Linked DNA regions of Saccharomyces cerevisiae S288C. The gene in region 2 interacts genetically with the main gene of each other region. Each region holds a gene or a part of one and is shown on either strand. Other genes may lie near its edges.

What was found.
Region 1: mutations in AVO2 (region 2) and ERF2 together harm fitness more than expected from each alone (negative genetic interaction), as found in Saccharomyces cerevisiae (2 studies listed by BioGRID).
Region 3: mutations in AVO2 (region 2) and HXT5 together harm fitness more than expected from each alone (negative genetic interaction), as found in Saccharomyces cerevisiae (2 studies listed by BioGRID).
Region 4: mutations in AVO2 (region 2) and YBR053C together harm fitness more than expected from each alone (negative genetic interaction), as found in Saccharomyces cerevisiae (2 studies listed by BioGRID).

The regions. Positions count from the first base shown.
Region 1 is NC_001144.5:622,807-631,023, reverse strand, and holds ERF2 (palmitoyltransferase ERF2), read right to left. Parts: upstream 3,907-8,217; coding exon 2,827-3,906; downstream 1-2,826. Other genes in the region: E3 ubiquitin-protein ligase IRC20, read left to right, coding at 1-2,340; CDD1 (cytidine deaminase), read left to right, coding at 4,094-4,522; methionine aminopeptidase MAP1, read left to right, coding at 4,693-5,856; putative signal sequence-binding GTPase GPN3, read right to left, coding at 6,003-6,821; sterol homeostasis protein ARV1, read left to right, coding at 7,141-8,106; CSC1 (Csc1p), read right to left, coding at 8,203-8,217. UniProt on the Saccharomyces cerevisiae protein: The ERF2-SHR5 complex is a palmitoyltransferase specific for Ras proteins. Palmitoylates RAS2, which is required for its proper plasma membrane localization.
Region 2 is NC_001145.3:399,728-408,084, reverse strand, and holds AVO2 (Avo2p), read right to left. Parts: upstream 1,782-8,357; coding exon 501-1,781; downstream 1-500. Other genes in the region: NAT4 (N-terminal L-serine N(alpha)-acetyltransferase NatD), read right to left, coding at 1-376; UBX4 (Ubx4p), read left to right, coding at 2,512-3,762; SOV1 (Sov1p), read right to left, coding at 3,848-6,544; KAR5 (Kar5p), read right to left, coding at 6,869-8,357. UniProt on the Saccharomyces cerevisiae protein: Component of TORC2, which regulates cell cycle-dependent polarization of the actin-cytoskeleton and cell wall integrity.
Region 3 is NC_001140.6:291,270-299,977, reverse strand, and holds HXT5 (hexose transporter HXT5), read left to right. Parts: upstream 1-3,530; coding exon 3,531-5,309; downstream 5,310-8,708. Other genes in the region: SFB3 (Sfb3p), read left to right, coding at 1-833; PAL2 (Pal2p), read left to right, coding at 1,369-1,493, 1,618-2,593; hexose transporter HXT1, read left to right, coding at 7,353-8,708.
Region 4 is NC_001134.8:336,580-344,811, forward strand, and holds YBR053C (regucalcin), read right to left. Parts: upstream 4,173-8,232; coding exon 3,096-4,172; downstream 1-3,095. Other genes in the region: DNA-binding protein REB1, read right to left, coding at 1-239; protein phosphatase regulator REG2, read right to left, coding at 604-1,620; RFS1 (flavodoxin-like fold family protein), read right to left, coding at 2,141-2,773; YRO2 (Yro2p), read left to right, coding at 6,522-7,556; U4/U6-U5 snRNP complex subunit PRP6, read right to left, coding at 8,023-8,232.

The DNA.
Region 1 (8,217 bases), on a different chromosome or scaffold from region 2:
GCCCTTGAATCATTTATCAAAATCAGAGATGATTTGATGATACACATACGCCAAAAATTCAACGTTGAGGATCCGTTTGATAAGTCGTTAAACCTCAGTGAAGATGAGGACGAACATATGGACGAGAGGTTTGGTGAGAAGGAAACATCTTCAGGCGACGAAAGCGATAGAGAAATAAATGGTGCTAAAAACCATGATAATCACAACAATGACGGAATGTTATCCAACCACCTGAAGAAGAAAGGATTACGTGCTATGATGAATTTACTGCATGATTGCTACTTCTTCCTCGGTTCTGTTTACTATAACTTGGGCACTCGTAAGCTAGAAGAGGCGGACGACAAGCATCGAAAAGAGAAGACTGAAGAAGTGGTGTATTCTGATGTTTTTCCAAAAAATGAGTTAGAGGAAATTGAAGAGAATAGACTTTTAGAACAAGAAAATTATGCGAATGCAGAAATTTTGAGGAAGTCAATCCTCTCCTCTGAGGCTAGAAAAGTTGATATGACTATTAAAATGGCCAGAACTAAGTTTGCTCCTATGACGAGCAATATACCTTTGCGATTAATCAATATTGAATTTGACCACAAAAATGACTACTCATCTAATTTAGCAGTATCTCGTTGTTTCAAGTCTTTGAGTAAGTTGATAGAAGGGTTGAATGAACAAACTAAAAACTTCAACGAGTTATTGGATGAGTTACTCATTATTATCTATGAACCTGTCCACAGGACAGAGGACGATGATAGCACTAATAAAATTATCGGTAATGAAGAATATTCAACATCGATTGACAGTCAAGATAAGATATTCAGTCTTCTTGGTTGCTTGGAGATAATTTTACAGAATAGGGACAATATTTTAACTTCAGAATCAGAAGTTAAAATTCCGAAGCATTTGGTACCGGAAGGTTCAATAATTTCAAAATATCAAAAGCAGTTATTGAACAGCTTGCGCTTGATTTCAGGAACACCTCTACGAACTGTTTTTGATGAACTGAAGAACAGCAGGATAGTAAGACGGATATCCTCAAGCAATGAAAGTGAATCTACCATTCAAAATTTTGAGGACTACTTACTTCAGTACGAAGTTGAAAGTAAAAGCCTGTTTAAGTACAATAAACAGGTAAGAGAATCTTTGAAAATCCTGGGATCGATTTATAATGCCAAGACGGAATATTATAGTCAATTACAGAGGATTTCCGATTCATTGGTGTCCTTGCACTCTTTGAGTGCTCCACAACTCAGCCATCTAATAAGAACTATCAATAAGTCATTGGGCGGTACACTAGATGCAAAAATCAATAACATTGAATCACGGCTGATATATTTAAAAAATTTGTCCAGATTGAAAGACACATTAAACGATAATCAAATATTGAGCTGCTCTATCTGTTTGGGAGAAGTTGAAATAGGTGCTATCATTAAGTGTGGACATTATTTTTGCAAGAGTTGTATCCTTACGTGGCTACGAGCCCATAGTAAATGCCCTATATGCAAAGGTTTCTGTAGTATATCGGAAGTCTATAACTTTAAGTTCAAGAACTCAACGGAGAAGAGGGAAAAAGAAATTCAAGAGCCACGAAGAGAGGGCGCCGATTCGTCTCAAGATAATTCAAATGAAAACTCGATTATATCCAATATGAGTGAAGTAGAAAAATTATTCGGAAATAAATACGAGCAATTCCATCAAATTAATGAAGTCCATCAAATTCACATAAAGGAAAGTTTTGGTGCTAAGATTGATTTCGTCATCAAGTTAATATCTTACCTGAGGCTAAAAAGTGAGCAGGAAAACGCTGATCCGCCACAAGTTATTCTATACTCTCAAAAGACAGAATATTTAAAGGTCATTGGTAAGGTATTAAAGTTGTATCACATTGAACACTTGGCATGTCTATCTAATACAGCCAATGTTGGCGAAACTATAAATAACTTCAAACGCCAGCCTTCCGTCACTTGCCTACTTTTGAATGTGAAAACTTTAGGTGCCGGCCTGAATTTGATAAATGCAAAACATATTTTCCTACTAGATCCTATCCTTAATAATAGTGATGAATTACAAGCTATGGGAAGGAATAATCGTATAGGACAAGATGAAGAAACTTTTGTGTGGAATTTCATGATCAGAAATACCGTTGAAGAAAACATCCTCAGATATAAATGTATACTCGAAGAGCGCAAAAGAAAGGAGAAGTCAAAAAAAGGCGATAAATACGACGAAGCACAAGATGAAACGGATAATGAGGAAAGCGATGATGCGAAGTTTGAGATAAGCGTGGTAGACCAAGAAGTCAGTAATGAACACTTATGGAACTGCTTTTTTCACGGTAGTGATTAGAGAAGTATGACTTTTAAACCAGACACTAATATATTAAAATATTTAATCTTTTGAATTTTTATATAAACGGTTGCCGTAATTACTATATATATATTCAATGGTAGGAAAAAAAGATGCTGCACGTTGTCTGACATCTGAAGAAGAGTGCTAATATGTAGCTTCAAAATTTTCGGAAGGCAAAAATAATGGTTGCTAAGAGATTCGAACTCTTGCATCTTACGATACCTGAGTATTCCTACAGTTAACTGCAGTCAAGATATTTTCTTGAATCAGGCGCCTTAGACCGCTCGGCCAAACAACCACTTATTTGTTGTAAAAGTTATACGAAAAGAACCTTTTAATGAATGTTTTTTTTAACATTCTAGCCAATTTCCAACGTTTATTTGCGTATACTCAACCTATACTATGGCGGAATTCACTCCTTTCAGTAACCTTTTTATATTTTACGTACTACTGTGTCGCTGAGTTCTTTATATCTATACTTCCTTATATTTTCTGTATTTTTTCAAAGCTGTGTGCTGGCGATAAATCCATAAATCTCCAATCTCCAGCTTCATGTGGCTTTCTGGCACTTACAAAGCTTGGGCCCCTTGGTTCTAACATCAAGTGACCCATATTTTTCAAAAAGGACCCCTTATTATATATGTTTTCCTCCTTGACCACACGATGGAATACAGGGTTTTTTTTCGATCCAATACCTTTCAAAAATTCCCTTGTTGTTTGCTGATTACCTGCCATAAATATGTGATAAGTAAACAGTATTGCCGGATACCATAAGGTTAGCCCTGCATAGCAAAGTAACAATATTGCAACGGGACAATCGCGAGGCCCCCCTGATTCCCGTGCAATATGGATGGCACAATTAGTTAATAATATGACGGACGAAAGTATTGCACCTAACAGGAATATTAAAAAGAACCGGTAGTTCCTTTTTCCTATGCAATTATTGACCCATATGCAATGGTGGTCATGAACCATTACGCAGACGTTACATGTGGAACAGTGAGAAGACCGAGGTGGTCTCCATATCCTACATGATGGACAATACTTGATAGTAATGTCTTTTGAAATTGAAGAATGTGTTGGTAGTGTTATCAAGTTGTAATATTCTTGCGGGATCTGATAATTATTTCTTAGTTGACTTAAATGAATATTTCTCGGAAGAACGCCAGGATCACTAGTGGCTGTTCTGATAAAGGATGCTAGCGTTATGACCCAAAAATAATAGAAGAAAATGACCAGCACTTTATAACCATTTTGGGTATGCCACAATTTGTGAGCCTCAAATATGGAGAAGAGAACCATGGGACATACAATAGCAAGGAGAACACCTAACCACAACGGTTTGGCGCCCTTTACTGTCCTGAACCTGCCACCAAGGAAGAATATATAATTCGAGACATTCGGTAACGATATATAACCTTTTCCATCGTTTATATCCTGATCACCCTCCAAGGTAACAAGCCATCGGAAGAACAACTTCGTCAATGAACCTTCTCCTGTATGCTCTTCCTTTGTTATTGAGGTGCTTTCCGATCTTGTCGACCTTCTAGAGACCAAGGCCATTATCTTCCCCGTTTCTCTTCTTGTTACCTTACGCTTTCTTTCCTTTACATTTTTATATTTGCAAACTGTAATCTTGATAAGGCGCTGCTCGCCAATTTCCGAGTAGTTTGACAAAATAAACACAAACTGTTTATGTACAAGAAACTAGGAAAACCAAACAGAGAATCTCAAGCAGAGAAATAAGGTAATGAAAGTAGGTGGCATAGAAGACAGACAACTGGAAGCCTTAAAAAGGGCGGCACTGAAGGCGTGTGAACTCTCCTATAGCCCCTATTCTCACTTCCGTGTCGGTTGTTCCATATTAACAAATAACGATGTTATCTTCACTGGTGCTAATGTCGAGAATGCAAGCTACAGTAATTGTATATGTGCAGAACGATCTGCTATGATACAAGTTCTAATGGCAGGCCATCGCTCAGGATGGAAATGCATGGTCATTTGTGGCGATTCTGAGGACCAGTGTGTTTCCCCTTGCGGCGTTTGCAGGCAGTTTATCAATGAATTTGTGGTCAAGGACTTTCCAATAGTCATGCTTAATTCCACAGGTTCTCGTTCTAAAGTCATGACAATGGGAGAACTGCTGCCCATGGCTTTTGGTCCATCTCATTTAAACTAGCAGCAATCTTTATTTGGCTGCTCCCCGAAAAGAAAGCGAAAATTTTTTACTTATTTTTTTTTTTTTTCATTTTTCATATAAAGAAGAAAAACTGATATTATTATTATTCATCCCAAGAACGCTATTGTGTATATTCCTAGCAAGAAAAAAATAAGCAAAAAAATTGTATAATGAGCACTGCAACTACAACAGTTACTACCTCCGATCAGGCTTCTCATCCTACCAAGATATATTGCTCCGGTTTGCAATGTGGTAGAGAAACTTCGTCCCAAATGAAATGCCCTGTTTGTCTAAAACAAGGCATCGTTTCCATTTTCTGCGACACAAGCTGTTATGAAAACAACTACAAAGCTCACAAAGCTTTGCACAATGCTAAGGACGGCTTGGAAGGTGCTTATGATCCTTTCCCAAAATTCAAATATTCTGGTAAAGTGAAGGCTTCATATCCACTTACCCCAAGAAGGTATGTCCCTGAAGATATTCCTAAACCGGACTGGGCCGCTAATGGGCTACCAGTCAGTGAACAAAGAAATGATAGACTTAACAACATCCCTATATACAAGAAAGATCAAATTAAGAAGATTAGAAAGGCATGTATGTTGGGTAGAGAAGTTCTTGATATTGCCGCTGCCCATGTCAGACCAGGCATCACTACAGATGAATTAGATGAAATCGTCCACAATGAAACAATTAAGAGAGGTGCCTACCCTTCCCCTCTTAATTATTACAACTTTCCTAAATCGCTTTGTACCTCTGTCAATGAAGTTATTTGTCACGGTGTGCCCGATAAAACTGTCTTGAAGGAAGGTGATATTGTCAATTTAGATGTTTCCTTATACTACCAAGGTTATCATGCAGACTTGAATGAGACATATTATGTCGGCGAAAACATTTCTAAGGAAGCTCTTAATACTACTGAGACCTCAAGAGAATGTTTGAAACTAGCCATTAAAATGTGTAAGCCAGGTACCACCTTCCAAGAGTTAGGTGATCATATTGAAAAACACGCTACCGAAAATAAGTGCAGTGTAGTAAGAACTTATTGTGGACATGGTGTTGGTGAATTTTTCCATTGTTCCCCAAATATTCCCCACTACGCCAAGAATAGAACACCTGGTGTTATGAAACCAGGTATGGTTTTCACCATCGAACCTATGATTAATGAAGGTACTTGGAAGGATATGACCTGGCCTGATGACTGGACTTCTACCACCCAAGACGGTAAACTGAGTGCTCAATTTGAACATACACTGTTGGTTACCGAACATGGTGTTGAAATCCTAACAGCCAGGAATAAGAAATCACCAGGTGGCCCAAGACAGAGAATTAAATAGATCTAGGTATTTTTATCTTATACATATAGAAACCAATAAAAAACTTGAACTTGTACTTTCCCGAGTCCGAATTGGTTATTATGAGAAGCTATTTTTTTTTTTTACCTCTTTTTATATGAATCAAGCGTACATAATTTTCTCTATAACTATTCTTCGACATCTATTTGGTCGTTAGGCTCTTTCTGTTCTTGTCCTTCTGCCCATTGTGTTATATCATCGACATACGATAATATGGTTTCTATACTGTCAGGATTATTAGATTCCAAAGGTAAAAATTGAACCATACCGAAATCATCGACGAGGTTGGCTATGCACTGGTTCAGTCTTAGAAATTTAGGGTTGGATGCTTGATTCATTCCTTCCGTTTCCATTAATAACATTGCATCGGGATTCAAAAATCTTTTCAGTTTTTTCTTATTGATGTCGCCTTTTATCAAGTCTAGTTTGCTCAACACATTGATATGGGGTAGTTCCAATAGAATCATCGCAGACATAGCAGATAGTGCACCGCTAAAAAATTTTGAGCTATCTATCACAAATGGCGCTTCCAAAAGATATGTGGCGCAAAGGTTGAAATTCAGTTGTTGAGTTAAATGGCGCACTATGTTCGGTAAGACAGGGATATGCGTGTAGAGTTCAATTTGACCGGGACAGTCAAAGATTAAATATTCATCGTTGAAATCCCCGATCTCTTCGTCAAGCCAGTCTAGATTTTTCAAAAGATATTCGAAGCAATATATTAGCGCACCATTGGGGCCCAAATCCATTTCTTCCATGACATCATCTAAGGAAATTAAATCTCTAATGTCAATAGTAAATTCATACTTGGTAGCTTCTGCGGCAGGGTCTAAATTTACAATATGAGCTCTTCGTCCTACAGTTTGCATATGTGATATAATGGAATTACAAAATGTGCTTTTCCCCGCACCTGCAGGTCCTAATACCATGACACCAACGCGAGACATTTTCCAATGCTGATTACTCTATTTGTACTTGTTAAGTTTTTTTCACGATCAGGATGACTTGCCAACCTCTTAATTATTGATCTTTCTTTTTTGATCTTTCACCTCATCATTTTAGATTTTTTGCAAAATTTTTCTTAGTATTTTTTCAGTTTAGGGACAGCGGGCCAAATTGAATAGCCCTATGTGAACAATTGATGATTCAGAAACATCAATGGCATAAATCAAGCTGAGAAATTCTTGTCATTGCATAGAAGGAAGGTTTGGTGCGTCAGTGAACGGATGAAGCGCATCAAAAAGTAGATATTAGCTGTGATAAACGATGATTTGCATAACGTGCATGCGGCCCGTAGATTCCCTTTATACAGTGTACTCGAATGACCACATTCAGCTGACAGATTGTCCATATTGCCAAGAGACAGTAGACAAATATGTTGAGATAGATAATGTCCTGTTATTCATTGATTTGCTTCTATTAAAAGCAGGTGCATATAGACACTTGGTATTCAATGCTTTGGAATTGCATCTCTCAAAATATCCGAAAAGAAAAGCGCTAAATGATTGCCAGTGTTTGCGTGACTATACGCAAGCTTTGTTATTTAACGTAAAGAACTGGTTTTGTAAATATGACCGGTTAAATCGCCTTTGGCTTCTACTATTATCATTCGAGATTTATTTAACTTGGGTTACTGAGGAGAGTAAATACATCTACTATTTGAACCGTAACAATAATGATGGTAAGCTCATCATGCTTTCAAAAAAATTACCAGAGAGCTTCAAATGGGACTCGGCAATCATGCGCAATACCATTACAAGTAAAGTGTTTACCTGGAGCCCACCAATACAATATCTTTACTTTGCAAGTTATTGTATTCTTGACGTTTCTTTATTCCACACCTTTACCCAGTATTTCATACTGAAAAAGTTGCATTGGAAGCACTATTCCGTTTCTTCAAAGGATGTCATATCATATACGATCTTATTATCGTACGGTGCCAAAATTTTTCCGATATTGATGTTGATATGGCCTTATGATACTCTAATTTCGATGAGTATCATTAAGTGGGTAGCTAATCTCTATATTATTGAATCGTTGAAGATTGTAACTAATCTTTCCTATTGGAATATCATAAAGATTTTTATAAGTGTGTCTTTATTACGATATTTCATGGTTAAGCCAATACTTATAGTTTTCGTGGCAAAGTTTAACTTTTCAGTTATTAAGAATTTAATACATCAGGAGTTTATACTACTACTACAGAAGTCAGGAACTTATTTATTGTTATAAGCAAATAAAAAAATATCCAGTATTACTTGTATCAAAAATCTTATTTTGGCATTTTCACAACAAAATATATAAATATAGAAATAGCACCTTGGGATTTCAATCCAACATCGG
Region 2 (8,357 bases):
TGCCGTACATAATGCGCGAGGCCCGGCGATACTTGGCGCCCAGGTGCTTGTCTATCAATTGCACACAGGCGTCCAGCACTTGGTCGCCGCGAGATTTGTGCAGCTTGTAGTTTATACACTTGAGGCTGTCAACGCTGTCAATACTGTCAGTGTCATCTTCGGGGATGTAGATAATCTCCCTTTCTAAAATAGCGGTGGTGAAGTTACCGTTTCCATCTGTATCCTTGTGCTCGATGGATTCAGGAAATTTTTCCACGCATAAGTTTAAGAAATGTTGGAACATTGGCGCCATGGCGACCCTCCTTCTTTCTGTTAGGTGCTCCTTCGATGTTCGTATACAGTTGTAAGTGTTCTCACTATATACCGAAGAACGCATCTCAGTGGAAAGAAAAAGAAAAAAGAAAAAGAGCTAAGAAAAAAATCTTTTAATGGCGCGCGCGCACCGCGCATACATATGTGGAAAAAAGGATGCATATAAAAAAAAATACGTAGTAGTCTTCTCAATCTTCTGCACGCGTGTTATTGCTATTTCTTAATTTTGAGATGGGTATGTTCAGAAGTGACACTCGTCTCCTCGGCTCGCCATTGTTTACCTTAATCTTGTACTTGTTCTCGTTCTCATCGTCCGGGTCCTTTCTTAGTCCCATTCCTATAGTGGCATCACCGCCATTGCCGCCGCCACCGTCATCGTTGATTGTAGCTGTCTGTGAGTCTCCTCTCACGTTGTCATTGCTCTTGTTAGGCAACAAGTATCTATTAATCAACGCGATGTTGTTGTGCGGACTTGTTGGTGTTGCACTGTGTCGTACTGATTCAGATACAAGCTCTTTCTTGGGCGACACACCTACTGGAGTCTTGACGTTGATGGAGTTCACTCTTAGTCTCGAGCTGGAATTTGAGCTTGACGAAAAACTGTCCGTAGACAAGGTTGGTTTTCGTGGGTTGAATACTGGATTTGTGATAGAACTCCTCCGATTCCCACCGTTACCGCTTGTTGTATGCGTTGATATCCTTCTTGGTAATACCGGCAACGGACTATTATTGGAATAGAGCGAATATGGCGAATTCATGCTTAAAACTGGGGAAGGCCCGTCCTCGAAAGTGGCCTTCGCATTTAGTATAGGAGTTCTGAATGAACTTGGTTTTTTGCCTGCACCCAACGGTGGCCCCTTCTTTTTCACCTCTTTTAACACTTTTGAATATATATTACCTACTTCAAACGTTTGTGCTACATCTATTGGCTTCCAATTTCCCTTGTCCCTGACATTATCATCCAAGGACACCTCACCTTCATTGAGAAGCATCTTCATACAACTTATACTGCCATACTCCAGGCATACATGCAGCGGCGTGTCGCCATTAGTGTCCATTACCCATAAATCAGCACCAACTCCTATCAACAGACTCAGACATTGGTAGTAATCGTTCATACATGCTATATGGATGGGGGCTCTACCATTCTCTCCGCGATGGTTGATAAATCGCGGAAATTGTTGCAAAAGTAAATGTAAGGTTTGCTCGTGCCCTTTCATTAATGCTAAATGCACACAGGTGTTTCCTTTAAAGGTTTTTATTAGTTCATGCTTGTCGTGCCCCAGCTGAATTAAATACACGCATATAAGGTATCTTCCATGGTATGAGGCGTAATGTAATGAACTCCATCCGTTCTCTGAGTCTATGTTGGTTAGCAAATCCGGATTCCGTCGCAATAATCTTTTCACTATAAGTAAATTGCCTTCAATAATAGCCTCCCGCAAGCGAACTGAGGGCTCTTTCAACATCTTTTGTTCAATATATCCTCTTTTCTAATGGGCGTTTTTTTTTTTTATTTTTAGGGTCCAGTTGATTTATACATTTTCAATTGTACCAGATCAAAAAAGTCTAGAGGAAAAAAACGTAATTAAGACAGAAGAAAAAAAGTATCAACTCCGGAATAACCGGGCCGCAAGAGAAATCAAACAATTAGTTGCACGAACATTTTTATCAGGAATAAGCAGGTAAGGGTAGGTATAAAGGTCAGCTCAGTACACGTATATCGTGTGAGTTATCTTTATTAAAATAATGATTCCAGAATAAGCGATGAGAGAGTAACGCTATTGGAATATGATATGGGAAATATCTTGAAACAATTTCAATAATTTGTCCATGTTTATGCAGTGTTGTACAAGCGTTTTTAAAGAAACTGTATAATATTCAAGATAGCGGGCGCCTCAACCGCTGTTTTGCTCCTCTTTTCTCTTGGAACTCTTGCCAAGAAAGATGTACGCCTTATAAAACGCTAGATGCTATTTCTTGCAACTTTATTACAAAATTTCAGCACTATTTCTTGCAATCCTAGATGTTTCCCTGTCTTCTATCTTCGATGTTAATTTAGACGTTTCTTCAAAGATTCAAGTTCTCTTTTATTGTACTATGTGTGGCAAAAAAAAAAGAAAACCAAAAAATGCAAAAACTAAGATAAATCTACGTACTGCGAAGAATAGCAAGGCAGACTAATAAGCGCACAATACAATGCCTATGGTTACCGTGAAGTATAACTTCCAACTTTTCAAATGTAAAGTTTCGTTGAATTCAACACTAAACGATGTGTTACACCAATCCATACAATTCTTTCAACTGCACACCTCGTCAAACGACTGGTCATTGATACATTTGGATAAACCGGTGCCATTAGATTTGCCATGGAGGCTTCTAAACTTACCAACGGGTGTCAACTTAGAATTATCTAAAAGTAGTAATTTTCCGGTGGCGAATAAGACCAACCGCGAAGATATTCCATTCAATACGATCAAAATACGGTTTCAAATCCCAGGAAGAGATTCCGTGGTTAAAGAAATGCCATCTGACCAACCAATTGCCCCTATCTTGCGACAGATGAGCGGCGCTGCGGGAGATGATTTTAAGATCCAGGTCTTTTCCAAGATAATAGAGTTCAAAACAATTAAGGATGAGAATTTGACTCTCGAAAATTTAGGGATTCAGGAGCCTTCGTCAGTTAGATTGATTTTTAATAATACATCTCATTCTGAGGGCATTAGCGCTAATAGCGCTATTCACCCAAAACAAACTCCCCCTACGATGACGAACCCGGAAACGGTTGCTTCACTACCACCTCACGAACTACATAAACCTTCTGTGTTTTTGCCCTCGGATGAGCCATTAGCAGTTATCAAGGATCAAATCGAGGATGAAGAAGATTATGAATTGACAGTAGAACAAGCCAAGAAATACCAAAAAATGTTATCATCGAAGGCTGGTACTTTGGGTGGTCCTATTTTGACAAAGAGACTTAGAGAGCAATCAGCCAACAACTTGCCAAAGAAAAATAAGGCTATATCTGAGTGTTTGCTGAGAGTCAAGTTCCCCGATAGAAGCCATATTCAAATAGCATTCAAACCCAATGAAGACATGCGTACAGTTTATAACGTCGTGTCGCAGTTCCTGATCGATGAGAACATGCCTTTTACGTTAAACCAATCTCATCCTTTCAAACCCTTGGCTAAAGACGATAAGAAGCTACTGGATGACCTGGAATTTGGCTCTAAAACAATGCTGCTTTTTGAAACAAATTCAAATTCTAATGGCCCATTAATAAAGGCTCATCTTTTGGAAGACGCACAAAAAATCACACACGAAACGAGGACAACCCCATCAGTTAATACGATAAATAAATCCAATCCACAGGGCCCTTCTGATAACGCTACAAGTATCAAAAAGACTTTAAATAGAGTACCTAAATGGATGAAATTAAGTAAAAAATAAATACAAAGCTAAACAGTCTCCTCTTTTAACTTTATTACAAATATGTACACGTATAGCTAAAATTATATAAAATGCATCCGTTTTTTTAGGCTTTTATCTTTAACTTATTTACATCTTCTATTAATTCTTCGAGTAAAGTAAACTCTGTTCCTAATTCTTTAAAAGCATCTTCTACCATCAAGAAAGTAGAACAATCACTTTTTTCCTTCCATTTTATAAAGATCAAAATCTCCCTGATCAAATGGGATATTGTATTCTCTTGATTTGTACCCTGTGGAATGTTTTTTAAGATTGACTCATTATTCATTAGCTCCGCCTTCCGTAACTTGTACTCACAAGCATCTTTACTGATGTTACTAATATCTCGTAAATATTGTCTTTTCAAACCCTTTAGAATATACATACTCAAATCGTAATCAATATTCAAGTCAAATTTTTTCGTTAGAAACGTTAATATGGCAGGTATTGCTTCTAAATCCCCGCTTTTCATGAACGTGGACACAATTAATTTAGAAAAAGTTTTGTCTGGCAAAATTTCACCATTTTCTGCCGTCATTTGGAACAATACTCTTGGGTGACAAGTTGGGTGAATCTTTATCTGCCTTTTTATTAATTTCTTTACAATGGACGACTTTTTCGATAAAATCCTAGAATTATTTTGTAAAACATGATAATAATGGCAATACACAGACCAAATCTTGTGGTACAGCGGTTTTGTTATGATGCGACGGTTGTAAAATCGGCAAGGGTTTGAGGTGGATAATGAAGACTCAGAGCTCACCTGTTGTTTGGATTCAAGTAGCGGATTGATGATCTCAAAACTTGAATTAAAGTCATACATGCTATCATAAAAATTGAGTATTTCTCTCAAAAAAACAGCATTTGGGATAACCTCTGACTCCTGCATTCTTTTTAAAAGTGACTTCACTTTCTGCTTAAATTCCTTTTTTCTAAATGAGGGCGTATTTTGTGCCTTCATATTTTGAATTTGAAGACTATAAAATTCAACAAATTTAGCGTAATGATATGCATTAACTTCCGAATAAAACTGATTATAGAGTAAATCTGGATCTGTTTTTGATTTCTTTGAGGCTTCTTCTAGTTTTTTTAAGATATTATATGCTTTTTCTTCTTCACCTGTACCGAGAAGTATGTTCAACAAGCCATTAAACTTTCTGGAACGTGACACACTGTTTAATTCCATCCACTGTCCAGAAGCCTGTTTAGTAATGAACTCTTCCAGAAAATCAGTTAATACAATACTTTTTGTTAAGGCCGAAACATTCTCAAACAGCAATTCATTGTATATTGGAGAATTAGTGTTATACTTAGTAATAACGCTCTCAAATGCCTCTTGCAACATTTTCACATTATTCTCAGGCACTACATAATCTTTATTTTGAGCAAAAATGTTTCGTAGCTTTTCAAAATCTTTCAACATATTTAGCTTGGTTTTAACAAGTAGAAATGCGGCATCTTCTTGTGTCGTTCCAGGTATTTCCATGTACTTGCTGATAAGTTGAGCCGCCATGGGAATATTTCTCTTATAAAGATGGAAATCAACAATGCTGATATAATCATGATCCGATGGTATTTCTAGTTCATTTAAGAACTCAGTTGCATGTTTCTCATTCTGAAAATTTTTAACTCCCGTGGGAAGTTCCTCCTGCTCATCTTTCATTCTGATTATTCCAACTTCTTCCACTAACTTAATAAATCGATCAGTCAGTATATTAGCTTCAGTAACATTGCCAATCGACAAATATTTTCGTATGCTCAATTTGGTAACTCTTGGGCTCAAATAAGAATACTTTGTTGAGTACTTTGCATCTGTCTCGGCTAAAAGTTTCCTGAAGTTTCTCAAGTGGTTAGACCTTAATGTGATCATTAATCCTAGTTCATTCCACCAGCGCTCGTTTACTTTGTCTTTATTGGTAATAAATAAACTGTATGCAGCCTTATAGTTTCCAAAAACTAGTAGGGATTCAATATAGAATGACTCATTTATAGGATCTAAACGAACTTTCCCTGTGCCATAAAGTAAATTTCCGACCAAGTAAATCCCTTTCTCCTTCATTTCTTGCACTGGTATCAATTTAACAACTTCAAAAGCTTGAGCAAGTTGGCTGAATGTGACCATTTCTGTTATTGACTCTTTCGGTTTGATTATGCCATTAAACCGTTCATTAAAACTTTTCAAAATCTCCAGTAAAAATGATGTACTCCTTAACGGTATATGGCCCTCTTGATCTTCAAATTGTTCTTGTGCTGATCGGAAAATATCGTTCATTATGGATTGCTCTAAGTCATCTTCATTTCCTTTCTCTTCATTGTATACCTGGGTTTGGCCGGTCGTGTTCAATCTTTTGATTTCTAAATCACACTCTTCGAGCAAATAATTGAAAACTGCATTAATTTTTACGGTGCTATTAGAGTCCTTGCTTTCTAAGGTTTTTTTTAATCTGTTTAAATTCTTGTTACTTCTTTTAAAGTTAGTTTCATTACAAAATTTCAGATATTGAATGAACGTTTCCTGGATAGTATCAAGAGGATTGATCTCCTGAAATTTCTTATTACTGAGAAGATTATTTTCGATTTCCTCTGATGTTTTTCCTTTCAAAATGAGACATTTTTCTGGTTCGTCTGGCCCTATGATGGTCTTATTAAGAACTTCAGGTATATGGGAGGCATAATTCAATGGCGCCCGCTTCAATCTATAAAAACGAATCTGAGACTTTGCTATCAAAGCGCTGCTACAGAGTGAGCGGTTGTATTTGAACATGAGTTATAAATATAGTATGGCCTTGTTTAATACGTTACTACTACCTAATGAATACTACCTGTGCCCATGATATAGAATCTCAAGATCTTTTTGCTTCGTCTTCAATGATAAAGCTGTAGGTGCTGCACTCGAACTCTCTTAAGCAAATTAACTTGGATAGTGACGTAGGACACCTTCTCTAGGTTCACTTGCCCGTATTATGGCCACCATGATCCGGTGTCCTTGAATTTTTAAAGAATATTTATTTTGCTAGACTTTGAATGCGGCTATATACCTATACATCTATGTATATATAGGCTTTCATATATTGTTACATCGGTAATGTTAAAAATCAATCAATGAGCCAGTCTTAGCTCCTAGATAAATTGAAAGTAGAAGAGCTGCCCATTGGTAATAGCGTTTAATAGGAATCATTTTGACGTTTACTCGAGACGTACGGTATTTTGACCAAATCCACACAACGGAGCACAGTAACCAGTAGTATTTATTCTTGACTGCAAGGTACCCACATCTTATAATCATTTTACTAGTTTTCCACATAAAATCCAATACCCTCATCATTGTCATGACATTTTTATGGACAAGTGAGACTCTGATTTCAATGTCGTCTAATTTTTTTTTTGTGCCATTCAGTTTCTCTGAAATATCATTAAAAGTTGAAAAAATCTCCTCATTCCATAAAGCAAAATCTCCATTTAGTGTAGATGTTATAGCTGTCCATTCTTGTAGTAAGGTATTTTTGAAGTTCGTCATCTCAGGTACTATCTCATCCGTCATGGATGGTAACAATGAATCATGAAGGATGGAATTGAACCCTTGCAAGAGCTCTATAGCTTCCATTTGTGATTCAGAAAGATCCTTTGACATGCCTCCTAACTGTTTTTTTAAACCCATCGAGAAGTTTTCCAACTCGGTATTAACTAACTTGTTATTTCTAGAGTAATATTCTTTTACGTCGTTGGACATTTCCACTAGGTCCTGTAAATTATTCAGGCTGTCGTCCTTCAAGTCATTTATCTTAGATTTTATGTCATTTTTAGCAAGCTCATCGGCTAGATCGCTCATAATATGATGGACGGTATCAACTTCATTCATTAGTTGACTGTTCTTCTCTATGATTTGGACCTCTAGTTGTTCGGAAGTTTCATAGAGTACATCATTCACTTTATTTCTAAAAAATGAGAGGTCGTTTTCTAAGATTATTCGATTGCTTTCGGTCGCATTTCGCAGTTCATTGTCATAGTTGCGGAACATCCTGGCCAGATCGTCCAAAAAATTTTGAGAATCTTGCTCCATTTGAAACATCAGATGATTTAACTTAGTATCGACATCATCCCCAAATGAATCATAAAGTTCAGTGATATTTAGAAAAAGTTTCAGTATCTGTTCTTTTTCAAAAGGAAGAAGATTTTCATAACAAATACTCGATAGTCGCTGATAATTTCCACTATAAGTTGTCCACCACTGTGAAGATGATTCTAGTTCAAACATACAATCCATCATTGATCCTAGGTCGTCAACCATGCAATTTTCTGGTATTTCGCCCAAGCCAGATGCCTGAAACTCGCATATTGAAAGTTTAATGGCCGTTTCTACCCTTGTTTCAGCGTCAATGGATTCAAGTCCATTTGCAATACATTGTGGCAAAAATAATTTTAGTGCGTCTTTAACACATGTTGATTTCAAGAATGGAAATTTGGATTCTAATACATTTGTCGCAACGGAATTATCTGTGTATATCAATCTTCCTTGCAGCAGATTGTTGATTTTTCCTAGTTCGGAGCTTGAAACAAACTTAATACAAATTGCAAAC
Region 3 (8,708 bases), on a different chromosome or scaffold from region 2:
TTGTAAAGATCAGAAGATTAATTGATGACAAGATGGTCGAAATCTTGACCCAATATAGAGGATTGGTTAGCAGTAACTCATCAACGCAATTGATACTGCCGGATTCTATAAAGACATTGCCTGCTTACATGTTAGCATTTGAAAAAAGCGAATTAATGAAGCCAAACGCTCAAAGTACCCGTGGTAATGAACGAATTTATGATTTATTGAAGTACGATTCATTGAACTCAGCACAACTTTGCTACAAACTTTATCCACAAATTGTGCCATTCCATGTATTATTAGAGGAAACTGATCTGACCTTTTACGATGCTAATGATAAATTATTACAGATCAACTCCAGCTCTATTAATAATCTATCTGTAAGAGCCTCACACTCTAATTTCATTAACGGCGGTTGCTACTTGATTTTCCAAGGTGATACTATCTATCTATGGTTTAATGAGAACACCAATAGAATGCTCTTGCAAGACCTGCTGTCAGTGGATGAATCCTTGCCCGTCAGCCAAATTTCGTTATTTAGTGGAACATTGCCTGAGACGGGCACTAGTATTAATCAAAAGGCTTCAAACGTCATTAAAAACTGGCAACAAGTAGTCAACAAGTCATCATTGCCGTTAGTCTTGTTGAGGCCTAATGTTGATCAATATTACAGTAATGTGATGAGTCAATTGCTTTGCGAGGACAAGACCGTCAACAGAATCGAATCATATGACAATTACTTGGTGATAATGCATAAAAAAATTCAAGAAAAACTTCAAAAAGACGATTTCATTAAAGTCTCGACTGCCGCAACTCACGAAAATATCCATCAAAAATTTGTGCAGTTTTGAGCCTCGCTCAAAGGAGACCCTGTGCTTACACGCAGAAAACTGGAAATAACGACATATTGTTGTGGCTGTGGCCGATGCGGTTCGTATATCCATTACTAAATAATTAAATACGTAAATGAATGAATAGACTGATATGATTGTGATTTTTACGTGTTGGCTATATTGTGCCTTTCTGCATTCACCTGCGCCTCCTCATGTAGAAAGGCGTTGATCAAGGGGAATACAGGAGAAGTATTTTTGGGTTCGTGTTTTGGTGGGGTTCCAGCCACAGAAGGGCTCTCGGCAGCGAAACGCTGACTATGCTGAGAATACTGCCAAAAAAAAAAAAAAGGCAGTATGTGAAACGCAGGCAGAGAAAGGGTGAAATTCTACATAGGATGAGAGAATCTCATAATTACAGGGATAAAACTGTAGCTTTGCTTCCTCTTTTATCTTTATTTTTTCTTGACTGTCTTCTGGTAAATCTTGCAAAATTACTACTATTTTGTATTTCAGAAGCGTTTTTTCCAAAGAATACTATATCAAACAGACGCAAATGAATCAAACAGGAAGGACCATAGGCGGTCCTCAAAATGGCGTGAATACAGTGATTAACCCCTTCAGAGTTTCTCCTTCAGAGGACAGAGTATCAAGCAGGGATGAAACGCCCAGGAATTATAAGTATGTGTAGCTCCACTCCCAAAATTGCACTACAGTGTAACTAACAGTCATGACTACTTCAGAATACTAACTTAACTCTTTTTCTCCTTTCAAAATCGATTGAGATAATCCATAATTATTGCAGTAACCCATTTTTAAATGAAGATGACACTAGGAGGGCCCATAACAGTAGCGTTTCCAATTCTAGACAAGAAAGACTCCCATCATATGAAGAAGCTGCGGGGACACCGAAACAGCAAGCTCCATACCCAAAAGAAAAGAAACGCAGTAGTGGTTCAAATAGTCACCAACACAACCACCACCACCATCGTCGTACATCACACGGACATAGGGACAAAGATAAGCAGAAGAGCAAAAGCAGAACCAAGGTTAAGCCCCCTAAAAATGTAGACACTATTGACAAGATGGATGTTACAGGATTATTTGGCGGATCTTTCCATCATGACGGCCCCTTTGATGCATGCACTCCACAGAGAAATAAGAATAATAAAGTGGCGCCTGTACTGGCCTTCCCAGCAGATGGTCCAAATAATACAGTAGGCGGCCGCACAAGTAAGAAGTCTACCTTAGATGAGGTGTTTGGTAGGGAAACAGTAGACGACGATTCTGAGACGCTGAACCAACTACAAGATAGAGCATATTTATTCAATAAGGCCAATTCCAGTACTACGACTTTGGATGCGATTAAACCGAATTCAAAAAATATTACCCAGTTCGATTCCAAAATGAAAACTGAACTAGTCCATGGGCCCATTACGATGGGTCTAGGCTCAACGACGTTCCTGGATGGCGCACCAGCGTCTTCCGCTGCCATAGAGCAAGATGTTATCAACCACGCACAAGAATCTCGTAGGAAAAACAGCATAGCAAGAAAAAAGTCTCTCCCCTCAAGAAGACATCTACAAGTGAACAACAACAATTTAAAGCTAGTGAAAACACATAGTGGACACTTGGAGCAAAAGGACGTAGACGATAATAGAACTTCTGTTCCGGTCACTGCCACCCAAGGAAGCGGTCACGAAGATGTTGTTAAAAAGGAAAACACCGGCAACAAGCTATTAAGGAGGGTGAAAAGCTTGAAAACTAGTAAAAAGCACTGATCAATGCTTCTTTCTTGCGTTCTTTTTGTTGCGCCCATATATTATTTTATTTATTACATTCATATAGCAATATTTACCTTATTTTATTGGTTACTTTTCTATACGCAAAATCACTACACTATGTTATGTTAAGGTCTCCGATACGGGAATATACCAATCAATACTTATCACTTCGGATTTTTTATGGGTCTTATCCCCACTGTTCCATTTTCTTGTTTAAGGCATCCCGGAGGATAAACTAAAAAGGTGGCCCATCCCACCCGAAATGAAAGTAATCATCTGCTAGCAAAAAGTAAAGAAATGAGAGCATGCTGTGATGTACTGGTGGACGAAATTGTGACCCATACCCACCGAAGAAACATCCGCATGACGTGTTACTGTTACTTCCCGGATTAAGGGATGCATTCTAACTCTGTGCGCCCTTTTCTCTGCAGTTGATCCGCATTCCCCGTGGCTGTGCACATTAGGGGACAGTAAGTAATTCACTTTCTGATCCCGCACTCATAGCGATGGAATAATATACCGGATTTCACACCTTGTTATTGAGTGAAGTACTGCTTGGTGAAATGATATCTTTATGTTCAATATTAATGGTCGTGTGGATGAATATATGGGCATGGGTTAATTAGTTTTAGGGGCACGGAGTAAACAAGAAAGGAGGGCCAGAATCATTAGTAGAGTACCTCAAGTTTGGTTTCTTTTTGATTTCACGTATAAAAGAGTCTCTCTCTTTTCTTTTCATGCTAGTCGAACGGTTCTCCCTCTAAGAATAAGAAACTATCAAAAGAAAGAGAAAAGTCGATTGAATAATTTTTCTATATATAATATACGCAAACAAGATTCGCTTTCACTTTGCAATTTTACTTCATAGCTTTGTTAAAACCAGCAAAAAATATTATTTTTCTAGAAAAAAGAATATATTAGAGGTAAAGAAAGAATGTCGGAACTTGAAAACGCTCATCAAGGCCCCTTGGAAGGGTCTGCTACTGTGAGCACAAATTCTAACTCATACAACGAGAAGTCAGGAAACTCGACTGCTCCTGGTACCGCCGGTTACAACGATAATTTGGCACAAGCTAAACCCGTCTCAAGTTACATTTCCCATGAAGGCCCTCCCAAAGACGAACTGGAAGAGCTTCAGAAGGAGGTTGACAAACAACTAGAGAAGAAATCGAAGTCGGATTTACTATTTGTATCCGTCTGCTGTTTGATGGTTGCTTTTGGTGGGTTCGTGTTTGGGTGGGATACTGGTACTATATCTGGTTTTGTCAGGCAAACAGACTTCATTAGGCGATTTGGCAGCACCCGTGCAAACGGGACTACCTATCTTTCCGATGTCAGAACCGGTTTGATGGTTTCTATTTTCAACATCGGCTGCGCTATCGGAGGTATAGTTTTGTCAAAGCTCGGTGATATGTATGGACGTAAGATTGGTCTGATGACTGTTGTCGTCATTTACTCAATTGGGATCATCATCCAAATCGCCTCCATTGACAAATGGTATCAATATTTCATTGGAAGAATCATCTCAGGACTGGGCGTTGGTGGTATTACAGTTTTGGCGCCTATGCTAATTTCTGAAGTGTCGCCTAAGCAGTTGCGTGGTACTCTGGTTTCATGTTACCAATTAATGATCACTTTCGGTATCTTTTTGGGATATTGTACTAATTTTGGTACCAAGAATTACTCAAACTCTGTCCAATGGAGGGTACCATTAGGCTTATGCTTTGCATGGTCTATTTTTATGATTGTTGGTATGACGTTCGTTCCTGAATCCCCACGTTATCTGGTAGAAGTGGGAAAAATTGAAGAGGCCAAGCGGTCCTTAGCAAGAGCTAACAAAACCACTGAAGACTCTCCTTTAGTAACTTTAGAAATGGAGAACTATCAGTCTTCTATTGAAGCTGAGAGATTGGCGGGCTCTGCTTCTTGGGGGGAATTGGTTACTGGTAAGCCCCAGATGTTCAGACGTACACTAATGGGTATGATGATTCAATCTTTACAACAGCTGACAGGTGACAATTACTTCTTTTACTATGGTACTACAATTTTCCAGGCTGTTGGTTTGGAAGATTCATTTGAAACTGCTATTGTTTTGGGTGTTGTTAATTTTGTTTCGACTTTTTTCTCGCTATATACCGTCGATCGTTTTGGTCGTCGTAATTGTTTGTTATGGGGCTGTGTAGGTATGATTTGTTGCTATGTCGTCTATGCCTCTGTTGGTGTTACCAGATTATGGCCAAACGGTCAAGATCAACCATCTTCAAAGGGTGCTGGTAACTGTATGATTGTTTTCGCATGTTTCTACATTTTCTGTTTCGCTACCACTTGGGCCCCCGTTGCCTATGTCCTTATCTCTGAGTCGTATCCCTTAAGAGTACGTGGTAAAGCAATGTCGATTGCAAGTGCCTGTAACTGGATTTGGGGGTTCTTGATCAGTTTTTTCACTCCATTTATTACTTCAGCAATCAATTTCTATTATGGCTATGTCTTTATGGGTTGTATGGTGTTCGCATACTTTTATGTGTTCTTCTTTGTTCCAGAGACAAAGGGCTTAACATTAGAAGAAGTCAACGAAATGTATGAAGAAAATGTGCTACCTTGGAAGTCTACCAAATGGATCCCACCATCTAGGAGAACAACAGATTATGACCTAGACGCTACTAGAAATGATCCGAGACCATTTTATAAAAGGATGTTCACTAAAGAAAAATAATCTCTTGTAGTGTAGGATCAACTATTTTCGCATACTTGCAATGTTCAGCATTGCACCATTTCAAATTTTAATATTAATATTAATCGTTTTCGTTCATATGTTCATTCATAGTTTACAAATAATGCAATCATATGCAGAGATATTTTGTCCGTGGTTAATAGGGCTGCCTGTTATTCCTTTAATTCAACTAAATTACGTATGTCTAATAATATCAAAATCATCATGACGTTTTTGTTTTTTTTCTTTATTTTAAGTAGGATCAAACCAGGGGAGAAAGGGTTGCTACGCCTAACAACAAGAACTTGTATATCGTTTCTTGTTACTTATACTTTTCTGCCCACTTCTCTCTTACAACTGCTCGAGCTCATCCTTGGTAATAAAACAGTGAGGACGGTTACTCGAGGTTTCAACAGGGGAAAATAAATTTATATGATGAATCAAGAGCCCCGTTCTTTTACCGTATTATCCTTCATACTACATACTAGGGAAAGAACTGAAAACTCCGCTACCTGCTGTAACAGCGCATAATAAAAAGCAAGAATATAGACAGTTACTGTTGTTTACGTTCTTTGATGACATCATTCTCATCAGACATACAGAAACACATCCTTTTTGTCTACCCCGTATTTATTCCAACTTCAAAGTATAGGTACCGTCCGGTTATACTCTCATATACTTTGTGGCAGTTTGCTTCTTTAAACCTTGTTAACCCAGAATATTTTCAGTGCAAAAAGCTTCCGATCCTCAAATACAGTGAGAGAAAAAGCAAACTTGTCTTCATTATTTTTCTGTTTGGCCCTGTCACGGTTCTTTTTATGGCCTTCTCGAAGGATATCCGTAGTCAATTATATTCACGTAGTTGCCAAAAGTAATTTTTGGAAAACTATTATTCCTCCGAGAAAACCTCACACAGAAATCCTTGCAGGTCTCATCTGGAATATAATTCCCCCCTCCTGAAGCAAATTTTTCCTTTGAGCCGGAATTTTTGATATTCCGAGTTCTTTTTTTCCATTCGCGGAGGTTATTCCATTCCTAAACGAGTGGCCACAATGAAACTTCAATTCATATCGACCGACTATTTTTCTCCGAACCAAAAAAATAGCAGGGCGAGATTGGAGCTGCGGAAAAAAGAGGAAAAAATTTTTTCGTAGTTTTCTTGTGCAAATTAGGGTGTAAGGTTTCTAGGGCTTATTGGTTCAAGCAGAAGAGACAACAATTGTAGGTCCTAAATTCAAGGCGGATGTAAGGAGTATTGGTTTCGAAAGTTTTTCCGAAGCGGCATGGCAGGGACTACTTGCGCATGCGCTCGGATTATCTTCATTTTTGCTTGCAAAAACGTAGAATCATGGTAAATTACATGAAGAATTCTCTTTTTTTTTTTTTTTTTTTTTTTTTTACCTCTAAAGAGTGTTGACCAACTGAAAAAACCCTTCTTCAAGAGAGTTAAACTAAGACTAACCATCATAACTTCCAAGGAATTAATCGATATCTTGCACTCCTGATTTTTCTTCAAAGAGACAGCGCAAAGGATTATGACACTGTTGCATTGAGTCAAAAGTTTTTCCGAAGTGACCCAGTGCTCTTTTTTTTTTTCCGTGAAGGACTGACAAATATGCGCACAAGATCCAATACGTAATGGAAATTCGGAAAAACTAGGAAGAAATGCTGCAGGGCATTGCCGTGCCGATCTTTTGTCTTTCAGATATATGAGAAAAAGAATATTCATCAAGTGCTGATAGAAGAATACCACTCATATGACGTGGGCAGAAGACAGCAAACGTAAACATGAGCTGCTGCGACATTTGATGGCTTTTATCCGACAAGCCAGGAAACTCCACCATTATCTAATGTAGCAAAATATTTCTTAACACCCGAAGTTGCGTGTCCCCCTCACGTTTTTAATCATTTGAATTAGTATATTGAAATTATATATAAAGGCAACAATGTCCCCATAATCAATTCCATCTGGGGTCTCATGTTCTTTCCCCACCTTAAAATCTATAAAGATATCATAATCGTCAACTAGTTGATATACGTAAAATCATGAATTCAACTCCCGATCTAATATCTCCTCAGAAATCCAATTCATCCAACTCATATGAATTGGAATCTGGTCGTTCAAAGGCCATGAATACTCCAGAAGGTAAAAATGAAAGTTTTCACGACAACTTAAGTGAAAGTCAAGTGCAACCCGCCGTTGCCCCTCCAAACACCGGAAAAGGTGTCTACGTAACGGTTTCTATCTGTTGTGTTATGGTTGCTTTCGGTGGTTTCATATTTGGATGGGATACTGGTACCATTTCTGGTTTTGTTGCTCAAACTGATTTTCTAAGAAGATTTGGTATGAAGCACCACGACGGTAGTCATTACTTGTCCAAGGTGAGAACTGGTTTAATTGTCTCTATTTTTAACATTGGTTGTGCCATTGGTGGTATCGTCTTAGCCAAGCTAGGTGATATGTATGGTCGTAGAATCGGTTTGATTGTCGTTGTAGTAATCTACACTATCGGTATCATTATTCAAATAGCCTCGATCAACAAGTGGTACCAATATTTCATTGGTAGAATTATCTCTGGTTTAGGTGTCGGTGGTATCACAGTTTTATCTCCCATGCTAATATCTGAGGTCGCCCCCAGTGAAATGAGAGGCACCTTGGTTTCATGTTACCAAGTCATGATTACTTTAGGTATTTTCTTAGGTTACTGTACCAATTTTGGTACCAAGAATTACTCAAACTCTGTCCAATGGAGAGTTCCATTAGGTTTGTGTTTCGCCTGGGCCTTATTTATGATTGGTGGTATGATGTTTGTTCCTGAATCTCCACGTTATTTGGTTGAAGCTGGCAGAATCGACGAAGCCAGGGCTTCTTTAGCTAAAGTTAACAAATGCCCACCTGACCATCCATACATTCAATATGAGTTGGAAACTATCGAAGCCAGTGTCGAAGAAATGAGAGCCGCTGGTACTGCATCTTGGGGCGAATTATTCACTGGTAAACCAGCCATGTTTCAACGTACTATGATGGGTATCATGATTCAATCTCTACAACAATTAACTGGTGATAACTATTTCTTCTACTACGGTACCATTGTTTTCCAGGCTGTCGGTTTAAGTGACTCTTTTGAAACTTCTATTGTCTTTGGTGTCGTCAACTTCTTCTCCACTTGTTGTTCTCTGTACACCGTTGACCGTTTTGGCCGTCGTAACTGTTTGATGTGGGGTGCTGTCGGTATGGTCTGCTGTTATGTTGTCTATGCCTCTGTTGGTGTTACCAGATTATGGCCAAACGGTCAAGATCAACCATCTTCAAAGGGTGCTGGTAACTGTATGATTGTTTTCGCATGTTTCTACATTTTCTGTTTCGCTACTACCTGGGCCCCAATTGCTTACGTTGTTATT
Region 4 (8,232 bases), on a different chromosome or scaffold from region 2:
CTAATATTTTCAGAATCATCATTATTATCCTCGTTTCTATTACTGTCATCATTGTTATTAACATCAACATCACTACTACTTTCCACAATATTCTGCTTTTTCGAGTGTTTGTTTTCCAGATCCTTCGTATGCAATTGAGGGTCATGGTTCTGGTGATCTAGACCTACACCGACATATTTCAAAACAGCCTCTTCCACAGACTCTTGATTTGCGTTTTTATCGTTATGACCTGAAGGCATATTGATTGAGCTATAAATATTCTAATTCAGCAGCAACACGTGAGTTCAAACTAATAACGATAGTGTGTAGATAACCTTGCTTGTGATGATGTTTATTTATTTACTTTAGGTTGGGTCCACAGCAGGGTAATAACAGCCTGAGTTTTGTTGTTTTATCTTGTGTGGTCAAGAAAGCTGCCATTTGTTTGTCGTTGTCCTTTGTGAGGGTAGGTCCCTTGGCCGCCTTTGGTTTGCCACCCGGCATGGGCCCAATTTGAAAGACGGGTAACAAAGTTGTTGCTATATATCACGTGATCAATTTTTCCGAGGAGCTTCTAGAAGAAAATGAGACACAATTTCAATGTATTGAAAGTTTACGTAAAATTTATAGGAGCAGGTTGGGTATACTGGTGTCTATGTAAGCGTCAATGTCATTTTCTGTTTCAGCGTCAGTATCAGTATCAGTGTCAGTTTCCGACTCGAAAATGAAGGTCGAATGACTTGAAGTTGACGAAGGTTTTACGGGGGAATGATGACTTATGTTGGATAACTTGAGATCGGAGTCAACCCGAAGCACACTACTGAAATCTGTTTCTCCTGCCTGTAACAAAACATTTCTTGGAACATCGCGAACATCGTGCCCACGCTGATAGTCTCCACTATTACTACTGATAATGGCAGTGGCAGCGGCAGTCGTAATAATTGCGTCACTCGCGACGTAAACGCTGTTATAATCATAGAAACTTCGCTTACTTGCTGCGTTGCCAATACAGGGATCTAGTTCAGACTTTGAACAAGGGCGCTGTTCATCAGTCGAATTCAACCGTGTAGAAGGAAGCCTTTGTATGAAATGCTCATCAGTTATAATACACTGTTCAACGTTATCGTTAAATTTGATATGCCTCTCTCGTGGCTTGCCCATTATATCTCTCCTTTTGCGTGCCTTAAACCAGCTTCTCCAAAAAAGGTTCTCCAATCTTTGATCATTGTCCACTTTCTTGTGTTTTTGTAACGGTAAAACATTTTCATTTTTTACAGTGTTGTTCGAGCTTCTCACATGCTTATTATTTTTATTGTAATTGTTTTTACTACTACAATTGATAAACTTGATGAATTTCCATAAATTTAAATTCAAGATTAAACTTCTTTGCTCGTGAAAGTCGAAATTTTTCTTCTTTACTGCTGGCAACATGCACATTCTTTTCTTGTTTATTTTCCACTGTTTGGCATTCAAAGACTTGATTTTTTTTAAGCAATACGTACCATTTGCAGCGGCGGGAGGATATCCCATATCGTTTCTATTCATCAAAGTTCTGACCGCCTCAACGAATTTACTACTTTCTTCTTCCTCTGGAGGGTCCTGGAATAAGTTATCCAAAGAGTCGCAATTACTCAAAGTCATTCTCACACACTTTCTTGTTCCTATTTTTTTTTTCTTATTCCAATATATTATTTTATCAGAAGACAGACAGCAAGAACGACAGCCTAAGTTTCGAGACAACGCTAAATTTGACGGACATGCGAAGACATGCCATATATAACAGTACGTCCAGGAAGAAGCTGCAACTCAAGAAGCAATAACTATTTTATGCATTATTAGTTAATTAAAGGGGGTATGGTGTGGCTAAAAACGAGTAAAAAAGCAGCTTGTTGCGATGTTAGTAATGATAACTATAAGGTTTCCGTGTTGACACAATAAGCGTATAAATTTAATCACTCCCCCCACGTTTTTTTATCCAGTGCTGCCCCGCCACATGCAATCGGGCCGTCGGAAAAGCAAGAGAAGGACAAACTATCGGGCAAATGGCCTGGAAGGGACCTTCCCCATTGGCCCTTGACTATAGTCCTTCAGTCCTTCAGTCCTTCAGTCCTTCAATGTTACAGTTATACCATATCGTACTTATGTAAAGATATATACGGTTTTACAAATCTTTGATACGGTCGTAAAAGGCCTTCCCTTGAAGTTGGTGAACTCTTAGCTCGGATAAACTGGGAGGTCTGCCACCGTCGATTCCAGAAACACATCCTGCGCCCCAGGCGCAAGACCCGTTCACATCTTCAACGTCGGTCAATTCCTTGTATGCGTTCTTATACCCCAATGGGACATAAATGACACCATGATGGACCAGAGTACTCATTGCGTTCATGATACACATTTCTGTATCACCCTTGCCGCTTATTGCGCCTGAAACAAACAAACCGGCAATTTTGCCATGGAGAGAACCCTTTGCCCAAAGCCCACCAGTATTCGAGTCCCAAAAGCTTTTCCACTCCGCGGGGAAGTTTCCAAACTTAGTAGGTATTCCGAATAAGTAGTAATCGTACTCAACCAACGTTTCTCTTGTTAGGATTTTATAGGAAAAATCTGCATTAGTTTTGGCGACTTTGGCTGCCTCTTTTCCCTCTTCTGTCGCATATTCAGTTTTATAGCTGACGTCTGGCACTTGGAAAATCTCAGCCTCACCACCAGCTATCTCTATACCTTTTTTTTCATTTTCTGCTAATGTGGCAATTATATCGTCCACTGAATAAATCAAAATAGCGACTTTCGGCATTATCTATGTGGCGTAGTATGTGCTTATAATAGTGAGTAGTATGCTGGAGGTCTTGATGTTCGATGTTTCTCGAGAAAAGTGTGATATAAAATGTGGTTTCTTTTTATTTCTTTTCTTTTCCGCTCTTTTATGTATTTTTGATTGTCCGCCCCTTAGGTGTTCCCTCCTTATAACTAGGCAACCAAAATGGAACGGCTATTATTCGATGTATAAGGACAAGTTTGGGAGCTTCGCTTCAATTTGCCCATAAGCGGTGTCATATGACGCTAGTTACATGCGCTGGATACGTATGCTGCATATATATAAACATATGTATATACACCTAGTGGAGAGGTTGTCGCTTTGTAGATTCCAGAGGAACATTTCCGTCTAGCACGTTTGGAATTTTGTAGATGCAGCCACCATTCTTGTCAGTATTGGTTCTTACAGCATCGTTGATTTCTGCATTGGCAGTGGTCACGAAGAGATCTTTACCAACAAAACAACAACATGAAACTCTTGGTGTCTGCTCCGGCAAAATGAACTCCTTCAGCAATTTTCCGTTAGTTAAATCGAACATTTGAACCTTACTGGTGGACCAGACAGTGATAAACAGAAACCCAGAATGTTTTCCGTCTTTGCTAAACCAAATTGCACTTCCATCTGGTTCAGGAGACTCAAAAGATTGATTGTTGGAGTTCTTCACGTCAATTAACTCGTCACGTTTTAGCAAGTCGCCACCAGGACATTTCCAAATAGTGAAGTTTAAAGAATCAGTCACGTACATCGTCTTTTGATCACTTTCATCCCAGTGGATCGCGTTAGGAATTAACAAGCAATTCCAAACAAGCTCTATCTTGTGAGCTAATAGGTCAACACGAAGCAAACACCCAATAGGTTCCAAATCAAATGGAAAATCGCTCATTAGCCCCACATAAATATATTTTCCATCTGGCGAAACGTTCCCATCATTAGATCTCAACTTATATGCTCTGTCTGTACTCAATTCAGGACATTCGGAATACAAAATGACATATTCCCATTCACTTTTGCTAAAATCCAATTTTCCTATGCCAAATTTACTACCAAATAATACTTGTTTGATTTCATTTTGTGAAGCCCCATCAAGTATTGGAAATATACAGCCCACGGATTCTTTTAATTCATCTGGATTGGGAGGGTACTCAATTGACGCATTCTTGCCATAATTGGCTCTACTAATGGAAAAAAAAGAATGACTGGATTCAGGCTGTTCTATGTCTTCGACTTTATGAACCTCTCCTTTAAAAATATCAACCCACAACAGTGTACCGGTTTCCTTAACGAAGGTTATTCCTTCACTATGTATGGCACCGGGAACGTGATAATAAGGTTTTAAATCATGCAAAATAATTTCTTCAAAATCGCCAACACTACTCATTTTACGAAAAGTGTCTAGTTGCTCAATGCATATAAACTTAATCTAAGAATCTTACAGGACATCTTCATATATGTCCATATGCTTTGAATAAGCATTGGCTTCCCCTTAAAGCCCGACCGGGTAAACTTTCACCTAGCTGTTCTTGGCGACCATTAAATAATTTTGAATGCATTTCTAGGAACAAAATCAAGTGCAAGCTACAGCTTTACAATTATAGAATCTGTTGACCAAGTAAAATGGATGAGAAAATTTACGTACGATTTTGTTCCTTATCCATTCAGCTTCTCAGTTAGTCAAGAGGTAGCTGTAGCGGCTTAACGAAAAAGGTATTAAAAAGGGACATACTTTTTTTATATCTTTTCCTTTGGCGTTCACAGTTACTCTTTTAGAACTCCTTGTTGTTGTGTAATGCATTTACCCATTCCCGATATAACTACCACTTTGGAGAACTGTAGACAAAGACCGCTCTTACTGAGTATACATTTTACTTTCGTAGACCGACTTTTAACTCTATTAGGAAAAGCAATTGACTTTTGAACTTCGATGACGATTGTGCAAAATACAAATCGTTTCAAGCGGTGTTCGGAATAGCTCACAGAAATGGCGAAGATATGTTGAAAAATACATACCGATGTCATTTGTGAAAAACAAAAACACAAGCTACAATTTGTATATTTACTCAATTACATATACCAATTGAGTAATAATTAAACAAGAAGGCAAAAATAAACTAAAGCAAAATAGTATACCATCTTTGGTTCCTGGACCACATTTTCTCTCAATATTTTTGAGATGTTTTTCTTTACTTTGTTTTAAGTAGTCTTTCCATCTCCCTTCAACGGAAACAAGTGCACGCAACATGTTATTTTCCTGTTATCCGCCCTGAGCAGTTTTCTTCCCCGGGTGGCAACCATTCTCCAACATTAGACAAACTTTACAAAGAAGACACCCTACCCGGTTGCCTCCAAAGCCCTTCTTTCTTAACGCGAGTACCGCTTTGGGAGGCCTCATCTTGGTTGTGTCCTCGTATGGCAGCATCTGCCATTGAGCGAACCCTTTCCCGTTTTACGCGCATGGCCTAGACCGATCTTTAGCAGACATGCCGAGTGAATTTACCTAAGATTTCTAAGGACTCTTCTGCATGTTTCCGAAAATCACCGGAAAAACCTTCGGTTTTTTTAGACGAAAACTAGGAAGTTGCTTAGCTTTCCTTGTCGTCTTCAAATCTATATGCCATCGGAAGAGAATCAGAAGAGAAGATCACGACTTAAGAGCTTTGCTGTTAAGATAGCAAGAAAGCTTGCCAATAGGCAGTTATGTAACCTAGTTTATCTACACCTTCTTTGATTAACTTAGCTATGTAGGCCGGTGTGTTTGTTCATATCACGGCATACGTTAACACAATGTAAATCTTGCTTTGGGTTGACTGAGGGAAATAACTATAGACATCACACCAATGGCTAAGGGATATTTCGACCTCGCTATGGGTTCTAAATGAGGGAATGGAAAAAAAGGGTAAATTGAAAACAACCTACCGATTTTGGTACCACTTCCGTGATTTTCGATTCTTCAATTTCCGCATAATTTGCCTCAAATAGGAAATCTGAGCTGTTTTTTTCTTACCCTCGAGTGGTCGTTCTGCGGACTTTTCTCCGGTCCAATGCATGAATCCCTTTAAGAAGCATGAAGAAAAAAAAAAATAGCCTCTTGTAAAAGCAAAAATGCCTTTCACTATTTCTGTGTAAACGAATAATTTCGTCATCTTAGTAGTTCACTGGATAATTGTGCTTTCCAATCAGATTAGTTAGTAAAACCCCTAGAAAATTTCAATGTTAGATCGGGATGATTCCTCATCGGGTTGTTGCTTATTCATGATCCTTTCAATTACTGGAAGCTTACCGAAAAGATATATAAAGAACCGAACTTATTCGGTTTACATGTAAGACAGTGTGTTAGTTATGGTTTTCCGCCCTTTTCTTCTCTTGTTTTCTTCGATATTTGTTATTAACCTTTTCTCATTTACGATTATATAATCAAGTGTCAAGATTGTGTCAGCAAATAACAGTAATATTCCAACCCGAAAAAAACTATCTATTTATCTTTGGATACTTTAACATAGACAAGAAGTCCTAAGAACTTACCATAATTTTTTTTCTAAAAACCCTTTTTTACTCAAAACTAATAGCTTATTCTGGTTATTTTTAATCAATCTAGAATTTTTTTCTTTTAATTCCAAACAATCTAATAACGTTTAACCACTAATTCTTTAATTATTAATATTTAATTTTAAAAATCTTCTAATTTTCCTGATAACTTAAAGTGACACTATTTTTTAAAAAAAGCATCAAAATGTCTGATTATGTTGAACTATTGAAAAGAGGTGGTAACGAAGCCATCAAAATTAATCCACCAACCGGTGCTGATTTCCACATTACATCTCGTGGTTCAGACTGGCTTTTCACCGTTTTTTGTGTTAACCTACTATTCGGTGTGATTTTAGTCCCACTAATGTTTAGAAAACCAGTTAAGGACAGATTCGTATATTATACGGCCATTGCTCCAAATTTGTTCATGTCAATTGCTTATTTCACCATGGCTTCTAACTTGGGTTGGATCCCAGTCAGAGCAAAGTACAACCATGTACAAACTTCTACCCAAAAGGAGCACCCAGGTTACAGACAAATTTTTTACGCTAGATACGTTGGCTGGTTTTTGGCTTTCCCATGGCCAATTATTCAAATGTCTCTACTTGGTGGTACTCCATTATGGCAAATTGCTTTCAATGTTGGTATGACTGAAATATTTACTGTCTGCTGGTTGATTGCTGCCTGTGTCCACTCTACTTACAAATGGGGTTACTACACCATTGGTATTGGTGCTGCCATTGTTGTTTGTATTAGTTTGATGACAACTACATTCAACCTGGTCAAGGCCAGAGGTAAGGATGTCTCTAACGTTTTCATTACTTTCATGAGTGTCATCATGTTTTTGTGGCTGATTGCTTACCCAACCTGTTTTGGTATCACAGATGGTGGTAACGTTTTGCAACCAGATTCTGCTACCATTTTCTATGGTATTATTGATTTGTTGATCCTATCTATCTTGCCAGTTCTTTTCATGCCATTGGCTAACTATTTGGGGATTGAAAGATTAGGTTTAATCTTCGACGAAGAACCCGCTGAACATGTTGGTCCAGTTGCTGAAAAGAAGATGCCATCTCCAGCTTCTTTCAAGTCATCTGATTCTGACTCTAGTATCAAGGAGAAGTTAAAGCTAAAGAAGAAGCACAAGAAGGACAAGAAGAAGGCTAAGAAGGCTAAGAAGGCCAAGAAGGCCAAGAAAGCCCAAGAAGAGGAGGAGGATGTAGCCACCGACTCTGAGTAAATGCTTTGATCTGCTGATGTAGCAATGTTTTTTTCCTTCTTTTTCCTGACGTATTATTATTTGAGACCGAAACTTCGCTGGAAAAGAAACACTTCGATCCTTTTTTTATCTTCTGCATTATAACGCGCAACGATGAAGTGTTAATACATGAAAGAAGATGGGATTGGATTGTAGCGACCAAAGGCCACAAATAAATATGCACTGTTTTTAAATTTTTTTTTCATTAAAAAAATACGAATAAATTCCTTAAACACATACATCATTTTGCTTCAAATTTTTACGTTTGTAAGAAAGACCATTTGTTGTCTTAATACCTATGAAGCACTACTTATAATCTTAATTAAATCTAATTCTTTTCTTTAACTTTTTTTTTGAGCATCGCTTCTATCAATTATGTGTATACATACATACATACATATAAATATACGCGCAGGCTAAGTAGAAAACAACGCAAGATAGAATTACTTTATTTGTCATTCATCAAGCGCAATAAAATCTCTCTAGGTGTGCAGTATTGCATTTTTACGTTCTTGGAGGCGGCTATCCATTCGGGTCCGTAAGTAGGCTCACATTGATCGAACATATTGTAGAGATCAACAGTATCCTTGCCTAACCTTGCATATGTCCTAAATAGCCAAACCCATGTATCTCCGTAACGCGAGCACTTTTTCAGAGC